Caenorhabditis elegans: one gene and its partner. The protein of the gene in region 2 purifies or fractionates together with the protein of the main gene of each other region. This does not show direct contact. Each region holds a gene or a part of one and is shown on either strand. Other genes may lie near its edges.

Evidence for each region. The genes of interacting proteins can lie anywhere in the genome.
Region 1: the proteins of alkb-7 (region 2) and Y94H6A.2 fractionate together in Caenorhabditis elegans (co-fractionation; one large-scale study listed by BioGRID). This does not show direct contact.

What each region holds. Positions count from the first base shown.
Region 1 is NC_003282.8:2,728,348-2,732,975, reverse strand, and holds Y94H6A.2 (DUF4781 domain-containing protein), read right to left. Parts: upstream 2,685-4,628; coding exon 2,678-2,684; intron 2,623-2,677; coding exon 2,339-2,622; intron 2,223-2,338; coding exon 2,097-2,222; intron 2,041-2,096; coding exon 1,912-2,040; intron 1,865-1,911; coding exon 1,620-1,864; intron 1,075-1,619; coding exon 859-1,074; intron 807-858; coding exon 572-806; 3' UTR 554-571; downstream 1-553.
Region 2 is NC_003280.10:12,785,813-12,790,026, forward strand, and holds alkb-7 (Alpha-ketoglutarate-dependent dioxygenase AlkB-like domain-containing protein), read right to left. Parts: upstream 2,342-4,214; 5' UTR 2,329-2,341; coding exon 2,222-2,328; intron 1,966-2,221; coding exon 1,872-1,965; intron 1,401-1,871; coding exon 1,227-1,400; intron 948-1,226; coding exon 820-947; intron 751-819; coding exon 570-750; 3' UTR 510-569; downstream 1-509. Other genes in the region: cpt-1 (carnitine O-palmitoyltransferase), read right to left, coding at 2,784-2,876, 3,559-4,065.

The DNA of each region.
Region 1 (4,628 bases), on a different chromosome or scaffold from region 2:
ATTACTCAGTTTTTTTTGTCTTCACAAGGTGTAACGACCCACAAAATCATCCGAGCTTAATCTTCTATTAAAATTCTTGAAAGTCAGATCAAAACGTTCCCCGAAAAATACTAAAATGAGTTTTCCTGCATACTGCTGCCGCCGCTCACATCTATCTTTCTGGCGACTGTGTCATTCAAGGCTTCTATGTCATTCAAACTACTGCCACAGTCATACCATGACAGAACTTTTTTGGATTTTTGTTTTCAAAGAATCTCTAGACCAAGAGCATTCTTTGAACTATAAAAACTTGTAAGATACTTGATGGGTTCCTCGAAAAAAAAAAAGTAAAAATCCCGCAGAATGCCGACTTGCGTGCCATCAAGAACGTGATCTCAAAAGTTCGGAAAGCCTGCAGCGATGCGGTTAGGGAAATTTTAAAAATTTTAAACGTTAATCTGGTCAGTATTTCATGGAGATCAAAATTTATACAAATTGATGTAATAACTCTCGCCACACGTGAAGTTACAGAGCTGCAAACGTGTTACCATACTTATGGCGCAGAAGAAAAATCAATCAACAATAACTTTATTTAGGATACACCTGCAAATATCCAAAACGATTTACGATCATAGTTTTTTCCCAAAAAAGTCTTTTCGAAAAATCCCTCAATCAAGGCGCCGGGTCTTTTTGAATACTCATTTAAGTACCAGTTCACCGGTCCGAAAAAGATAGTAGTGTTGCGCCGAATGATCAACACAAGTCCACATTCATCGCCGAACCGTTTGCAAAGCTTTTCCGCATAATCAATCAATTTGAATCTGTAGCTGAAAAAATGTTTGGATCAAATGTTATGCCATTAAGCCGCAAAATACAAACTCGTATTCCATTGGAAGGGCAGCTTGCAGCTTTCTTTGAAGGTTCTCCTCGTGCCTTTTGCAATCTTGGGTTCTGAGGCTTCGTAAAACAAAAGCATTGCACCCGTTTCGATTGAAAGAAGATTTAAAATTGCGTTTGAAATAGCTGTATGAAGTGAATTGGTACTCCTCAGATGAACCGTCACAGAAATCGTAGACGATCACGTAAAATTTGTGGCTGAAATATTTTGGAAAATCAATTTGAAATCTGACTGTTTGCGATATGGTGTGCAAAAAATGGTTACATTTGTAAGTGGATGTGAGAAAAATTACTGACGTTCACAGCAGGGCTGTCTTTTTTTGAATAAATTTTCGGAAAACGCAGATTTTTTGGCTTTTTTGGTCTTTCGGGACCAAAATCTTTTATATTTTTTCACAAATTAAAAAAATTCCAGAAAAAAATTGGTTGGCCCTCAAAAGCCTAGAAATCATCAGAAATCTGCAAAAATCAACATTTGGAGGAATTTTACGGGCTGCGAAAATCGTGAAAAATGCATTGAAAATTTTTCAGAGCGACTTCTTTCCAGTTCAAAGTGCCTAAATTGACCGGGGTTAAATTGGAATACTTCCTTTGTAAGCCTAATAATGGAAATACTATTCACGTTTTAAATAACTTAACAGATAAAATAATTGCTACCCCGGTCATAATTTAATTTGAAAAAAGTAAAGTTATAATACACAATTACCCTTTTATGTCCCTTGTCAATTTACAAAAATACTCACTTTGTCATGATCTTGCCCAATTCTTTAGTCAAAATATTTCGTATATTTTCACTTCCCTCATTATTGTCTTGCACATTATGGATTAAACTTAAGACTCCATCGTCCCAGTACGAGTGATCTTGACGGTATTCTTCAGCCCATCTATTCATTTTCAGTTGTAATTCTTCGGTTTGCTTCTTTAAACGACTCGGTCCAATCATGTTCTTATCGCAAAACATTCCATTCTGGTACGTCTCCAAAATCAGCTGAATATGATACACTTTATTTAGTGAGGGATGTAGTGAGTACCTACACATTGGGCAAGCACTCCGTCGATTATTTTTCTCCATTTTTCAAAAGTTTCCGTTGGTCGAAGAGGATCACAGTTCATTGCCATTTTGAGAGGATTCGTTTCCTCCTGGTCGAGTTTTATAATCATTTGCTGGAAATTTGAAGCTGTCTAACATTGAAATCTTGTGATTCCTTAATAAGTCCTACCTCTGCAATCCACAAAGGTTTATTATCCGTCACAGCGCCACGAAATAGCTCTTTTGTGTATTTACAAGGATTGTTCATCGTATCCTGCATGTATTTCATCAACGTTTTGATTGTAGCGACCTCATTCTGCAAAATTTTGAGTAAGGGTAAAGGGTGAAGGTTAAAAAGGGTCGTGATTAACTTTTTTCCTGCGCAGAAGGCTTCGTAACCACACTTTGAACCAATATCTATTCCGAACATACCATGTAAAAGTGAGACGTTGTTATAAATGACTTAAGATCACCGAACAACGCGTCCATCTTATGTGACAGTTCCCCAATCTTCTTGTCGAGCGTTTTGAGCTCGCTGAGTATCAGCTCCGTTGATTTGTCATCTTTGTATGCAGCCATCGTAACATATGCACTAACTATAGCACCGCATGCACAAATCGCAGTTAAATGCGGAACCACTGCGGCGGACGCATAAGCCCCATGTACTCCTAGGCAGCCAGTGACCACCGAAATAAATCCCGTCGTGTAGTTTACAGCTGGAAAATTGAGAATTCGATTCAATTTCATATTATTTTAAAAATAGAATCTTACCAGCCATCTTGAAATATATAACTGTCTCCAAATAGAAAAGCAATGATGTCTTATCTTTCTTTTCTCTGTTCTTGTTTTATACTCTAGTGCTACACATTACACGCATGCCATTTTTCTTGTGGAACTAAGTATGAGGAATACTGACATTTTCTTTATCAGGAATGCTAGCGTCTTCCTCATAAAAATTCGGAAAGGGCAAAAATGTCAAAGAAAATTATGTGTTGAAAATACTCAAATATGTCAATAGTACCAAGTGACTCATTTAGGGAACACGATTTTTGGCATAGTAAGTGAGTTCCGAACTAAAGAACTAAACTATAAATTCTGATTTTTTTAAAAGATTTTAAAAGAAAGAAAAGATTTATTCACAAAAAACATGTAAAAGATACATTAGTTTTCCTTGAAGGTATTAGATAAAATATTTATTTAAAAAAAAAGAAATCGCAAAAAGATAAAATGTCGTAGTTTTTATTACAATGGAACGGTTTTGAATAAAAACTACAAATATTCATCGAACACCAGCAATTATCTCAAACTTTTGACCGTACCAGTACTGAAAAAAGTCGCCACTACCAAAAAAAAAGTCAGAACCATTGCCCTTGAAACATCTCTCAATACAGTCACCGGGTCCTCTGGGATAATCGTCTGGGTCACAGTTTACCCAACGTTTGCGAATGTTTCTATGTTTTCGAATAATCCCCACAAAGCCACATTCGGCGCCGAACGTTTCGCGAAGACCACGCACGTACTCACGAAGGTCATGAATGCTGAATATTGATTTAAATTAATTAATGGTGTTTTCTTTAAATAAATACCGTATTTTCCGTATTAGTTCATATTGCATTAACATTAACATTAATTGTCTTCAGTTAAACACATTATAAAAGTATGGTAGTGGCGACTAATATAGAAAATGCGGTACACTGTACTTACTACGACTGTGGAGGTGTTGCATCGAGCATCCTTCGAAGAATCTCCAGGAGATTATGCGGAAAAGCTTTGCGAACGGTTCGGCGATGAATGTGGACTTGTGTTGATCATTCGGCGCAACACTACTATCTTTTTCGGACCGGTGAACTGGTACTTAAATGAGTATTCAAAAAGACCCGGCGCCTTGATTGAGGGATTTTTCGAAAAGACTTTTTTGGGAAAAAACTATGATCGTAAATCGTTTTGGATATTTGCAGGTGTATCCTAAATAAAGTTATTGTTGATTGATTTTTCTTCTGCGCCATAAGTATGGTAACACGTTTGCAGCTCTGTAACTTCACGTGTGGCGAGAGTTATTACATCAATTTGTATAAATTTTGATCTCCATGAAATACTGACCAGATTAACGTTTAAAATTTTTAAAATTTCCCTAACCGCATCGCTGCAGGCTTTCCGAACTTTTGAGATCACGTTCTTGATGGCACGCAAGTCGGCATTCTGCGGGATTTTTACTTTTTTTTTTTCGAGGAACCCATCAAGTATCTTACAAGTTTTTATAGTTCAAAGAATGCTCTTGGTCTAGAGATTCTTTGAAAACAAAAATCCAAAAAAGTTCTGTCATGGTATGACTGTGGCAGTAGTTTGAATGACATAGAAGCCTTGAATGACACAGTCGCCAGAAAGATAGATGTGAGCGGCGGCAGCAGTATGCAGGAAAACTCATTTTAGTATTTTTCGGGGAACGTTTTGATCTGACTTTCAAGAATTTTAATAGAAGATTAAGCTCGGATGATTTTGTGGGTCGTTACACCTTGTGAAGACAAAAAAAACTGAGTAATTTTCGCAAAGTTGAATTCATGAAATATTCAAAGGTTTTTTCTAGGCGCCAGTGTCGATACAGAAAATTTTCAAATACTACAAAAACAATTAAAAACGCTTCTTCACTTCTTTAACTTTGAATTTAACATAAAAATCATAGATCTGAAAATTATTGGCGTGCGTGGGATGTGCGTTTGTGTGG
Region 2 (4,214 bases):
TATTCCATTTTCACTAGTTTCTTTGCAATATTTTCTCATTTTTAAGCTTCTCTATCGATAAGATAGAACAACCCGTAAATCGACACAGGCGCTACAGTAGTCATTTAAAGAGTTACTGTAGTTTTCGCTACGAGATATTTTGCACGTCAAACATGTTGCGCAGTACGTATTCTTAGAATTTTGTGTTTCCGTAATATATTCGTACCTTCAAATACTGCTAATTTTCTGTGCTGGAGAAGTTATTATAACATTGTGTTATTAACCAGAAGCTAAATTTTGCGCCAAAATACGGTACCAGGTCTCGACGCGACAAATTCTGGTTTGATCGAAAAAGCTGTGCGCCTTTAAATAGTACTGTAGTTTGAAATTTCTCTGAAAATCGATAAAAACTATAGTACTCTTTAAAGGCGCGCCCCTTTTTGCATTTAACAAAAATCTGTCGTGTCGAGACCATGTTTGGCGCTAAAATCGCAATATTTCGCCTCTAGATAATAATGAAATACAAAAATATAATTAATTGTTTATTAATTGCAACAATTTATTCTAAGAACCACAGGTAATAAAAACAATTAAATTTCTTCAGGAATCGGTTTCAGCTTAATCTCCTCCTCAGCCGTCTGCCGATTCGCCACTTTCGGAAGATCTCTACAAATAATCGATATTCTTCGCTCCCTGGGCACTTGTTCTCCGTTCCACACACTTTCCTGCTCGCCGAGCACCTCATGTGTGAAATCGTATCGTCCGGGACCGCTGAAATTTTCGAATTTTTTAGATTTTTTAAAAATGTGGTGAGCAAGTTCGCTCTATGGCTAAACTCACCCTAATCGATATAAACTTCTTCTAGGCATCAGAAGATCCATAATCAGTTCATCCTTCTGATCCTTGTGCCGGAGCCGCATAATAGCGTCGGAGAGCAGGGAGACACCCGTGATGACGTCACCACAATACTGAAAATTTCGGATTTTTTTTGAATATTTTTGAGTTATAAGTTTTAAATGCGCTCTAATGATAATAATTGCCGAACTAGGCCATGTTGGCTCGACCATATCTGGGGTAGATTTACGGCGCGTTGCGTGTCGCGTCGCGGCTCGATTTTAGTTGTAAAACTAAATGTATTTGTCCGTGTGGAGTACACGACTTTCCCACGCGTTGTCCGGCGGGGGATTGTCAATAGAGCGCGAAAAATTCGATGAGGAAGCCCAGAACCCTGGTCAACTTGCACGCACTCGAATCGCGTCAATGTGTGGTTTGATGACACCGTCCTTGTGTAGATCCAAAATATGCACGTAGGTCAAATGTTCGGTGTTGGCGCCGAACGATTCACTCCGGATGCGGGAGATCACTTCGAGATTCTCGTCTCGCCATTTTCGTTGCTCACGTTCTCGGTATAGGTGGATGGCCTAGAAAATATGGGAGACTTTTAGGCCACGGGAAGCTTGCTGGTGGCCTAGAAATTCGAAATAGGTATTTCTAGGCCATGAATTCATCTGAAACCTAGAACACGATTTCTAGGCCACTTATTCTATACTGATGACCTATAAATCCAAAATTTCAATTTCTAGGCCATCGACAATTTACTGATGGCCTAGAATATTATTTCTAGGCCACCAATTCTATATTGATGACCTAGAAATCCAAAATTTTAATTTCTAGGTCATCGACAATATATTGATGGCCTAGAATAATATTTCTAAGCCACCAGTAATGTTTTATTGACTGAGAACTCTAAATTTCAAATTTTATGTCAAATTTTGGATTAAAACATATTTTATCCGAGATTTTCAATAAATTTTTTTTCACAAAACTATCATTTTTTGAATTTTGTAAATTTTAAATCTGTTTTCCTCATAAAAATGATCAAAAACTCCTACATCGTCCCAATGGCTCTTCTCGTACCGAAGACGCTTCATGTGTGGCTCAACGTCGACGAGAAGGCTTTTCTCTTCGGCTTCTGTGATGAAATCTCTGAAAATTTCGAAATTTTTAAGGTTGCAAGCGCGCTCCAATGCTAATAATCTTTTTTTAAACTTGCAAATACGCTCTACGGATAATTCCCCAGAGTTTCGCTGCTTCCAATTTAAATTCAAATTTTTTCAAGTTGCAATCGCGCTCCTTTGACGATTTCTCTGATTTCACCGATTTCACGTAAAATTTGAAAATTGTGGAGTATGCAAATCCGCTCTAATACCAATTTCGCTCAAAATTTCAAATTCTTGCCTACTTTTTAACATAACAGCAGGTTTTCATAGTTTCAGCCAAATCCTTCGGCCACAGTTCCAAATTATGAAATTTTATCAAATGTTGCAGAGTTCTCGGTGTAATTTTCATATTTTCTGTTCCACTGAAACATTTTTGTTGTAAATTTCCAATTTCTGAGAATATTCTAAAGCACGGCTTTCTACGGCTTTTAAACCATTTTCCTGTTGAACTATTTTCTTTAAAAATCACAATGATTTTATAGTCGAAAAGAAATAAAAAAACGCATTATGCTGAGGGCTTCGACATACAAAGTGGAAAGGGTTGGGGGAAATACATGGAAATTTCCTTTTTTTTTTCGGAAAAACAAATTTTTGTTAGTATTTACAATTACATTTTGTTACCAGTCAGACAAGTTTTTTGAGGGAAAAAAATCCAATAAAAATGAGCATTTTTCAGAAGGACGTATAATGTACACGAAGTGTGTGTGTGAAAAGGAGACAACAAAAGGGAAAAATTGCGGGTTAAAAATGGCCGGGAAAACCAAAAAAAAACATTTTTTAAAAAAATAAATTCAGACGGAGCACTTATTGCTTTTTCTTCGGCGCCTCAATCGCCTCGGCGAGCTTCTTCATGTCGTTGAGCGAGCGCTTGAGCTCTTCACGGAATTCACGGGAGCTCTGGAAGAAAATTGGATGAAATAGATAAATTTTGTGGTTTTTCGGCAAAAATTGCTCAAATTTTTTCGAATTTTGAAGATAAGTTTAAAAAAAAATTTTTTTCCACAATATGAATATTGTTTACAATAAGAAATCTGGTTTTTTCAAACGAAAAATCTTTTGTTCGTTCCAGAAAATTTGGGTTTTTTTCAAAAAATCTGGTTTTTTTTAATCTGGGGATTTTTTCCAGAAAATCTGAGTCTTTCCCAAAAATTGGTTTTTTTCCAACAAATCTGGGTTTTTTCAACAAAAAATCTCGGGTTTTTCCAAAAAATCTGCTTTTTTTAAACAAAAAATTCGGTTTTTTTCCAAAAAATCTGGGTTTTTTTCTGAAAAAAATCTGGCTTTTCCAAAAAAATCGGGTTTTTTTTAAACAAAAAATTGGTATTTTTTTCCAAAAAATCTGCTTTTTTTAAACAAAAAATTCGGTTTTTTTCCAAAAAATCTGGGTTTTTTTCTGAAAAAATTCTGGCTTTTCCAAAAAAATCGGGTTTTTTTTAAACAAAAAATTGGTATTTTTTTCCAAAAAATCTGGGTTTTTTTAGACAAAAAATAGATTTTTTTTTCCAGAAAATCTGGGTTTTTTTCCAAAAAATCGGGGGTTTTTCAGAGAAAAATACTGTAACTGTAAAACAAAAATTACCGTATTATCGGCAGATCTCTTGCTAGAGATATGGAAAGACAGAGTATCTTCCCCTGCAACAATATAAGAGACACCGTAACCCCGATCAGCCACCGGACCGAATCCACCTCCGGCAGTGATCAATCTCAAGCGAACTTCGTTGGAAAGTCCCTTGGCATCAGCTTCGCACTGATTCATCGGAGTCTGGGAAGTTGAGAGCAAGTATGTCGGTGGGAAGATATTATCGAAAAACGGGGATTCCTCTTCCAAATATCTCTTGATAACGTAGAGAGCGAAGAGATGACGATCGACTCCTTGTCCACACATCGCGTCTCGGTACAGCTCCTGATGCTTGTCGCATGCTTTACGGAGGAGTTGGAGGCGATCTTGAGGCGTCTTCGAGGCGTCGAGCATTGAACGAACGAAATCCGAGGATTGGACAGTGCAGGAACGGACAGTTTCGGTACGTCCTTCACGGAAGAGACGGGTCATTGAGGCTTCGTAGGTCAGCGAGAATTTATTTTGATTCTGCAAAAAAATTGAGTTATTTTACGGTGTTTTTTAAAGGTGGAGTAGCGTTAATGGGGATTTTGCTTCTAAAAATTCAAAAAAAAAATTTTTTTTGCTCTAAATGACCGAATATAACTGAAAAAAATTCAAAAAAAATTTCTGAATTT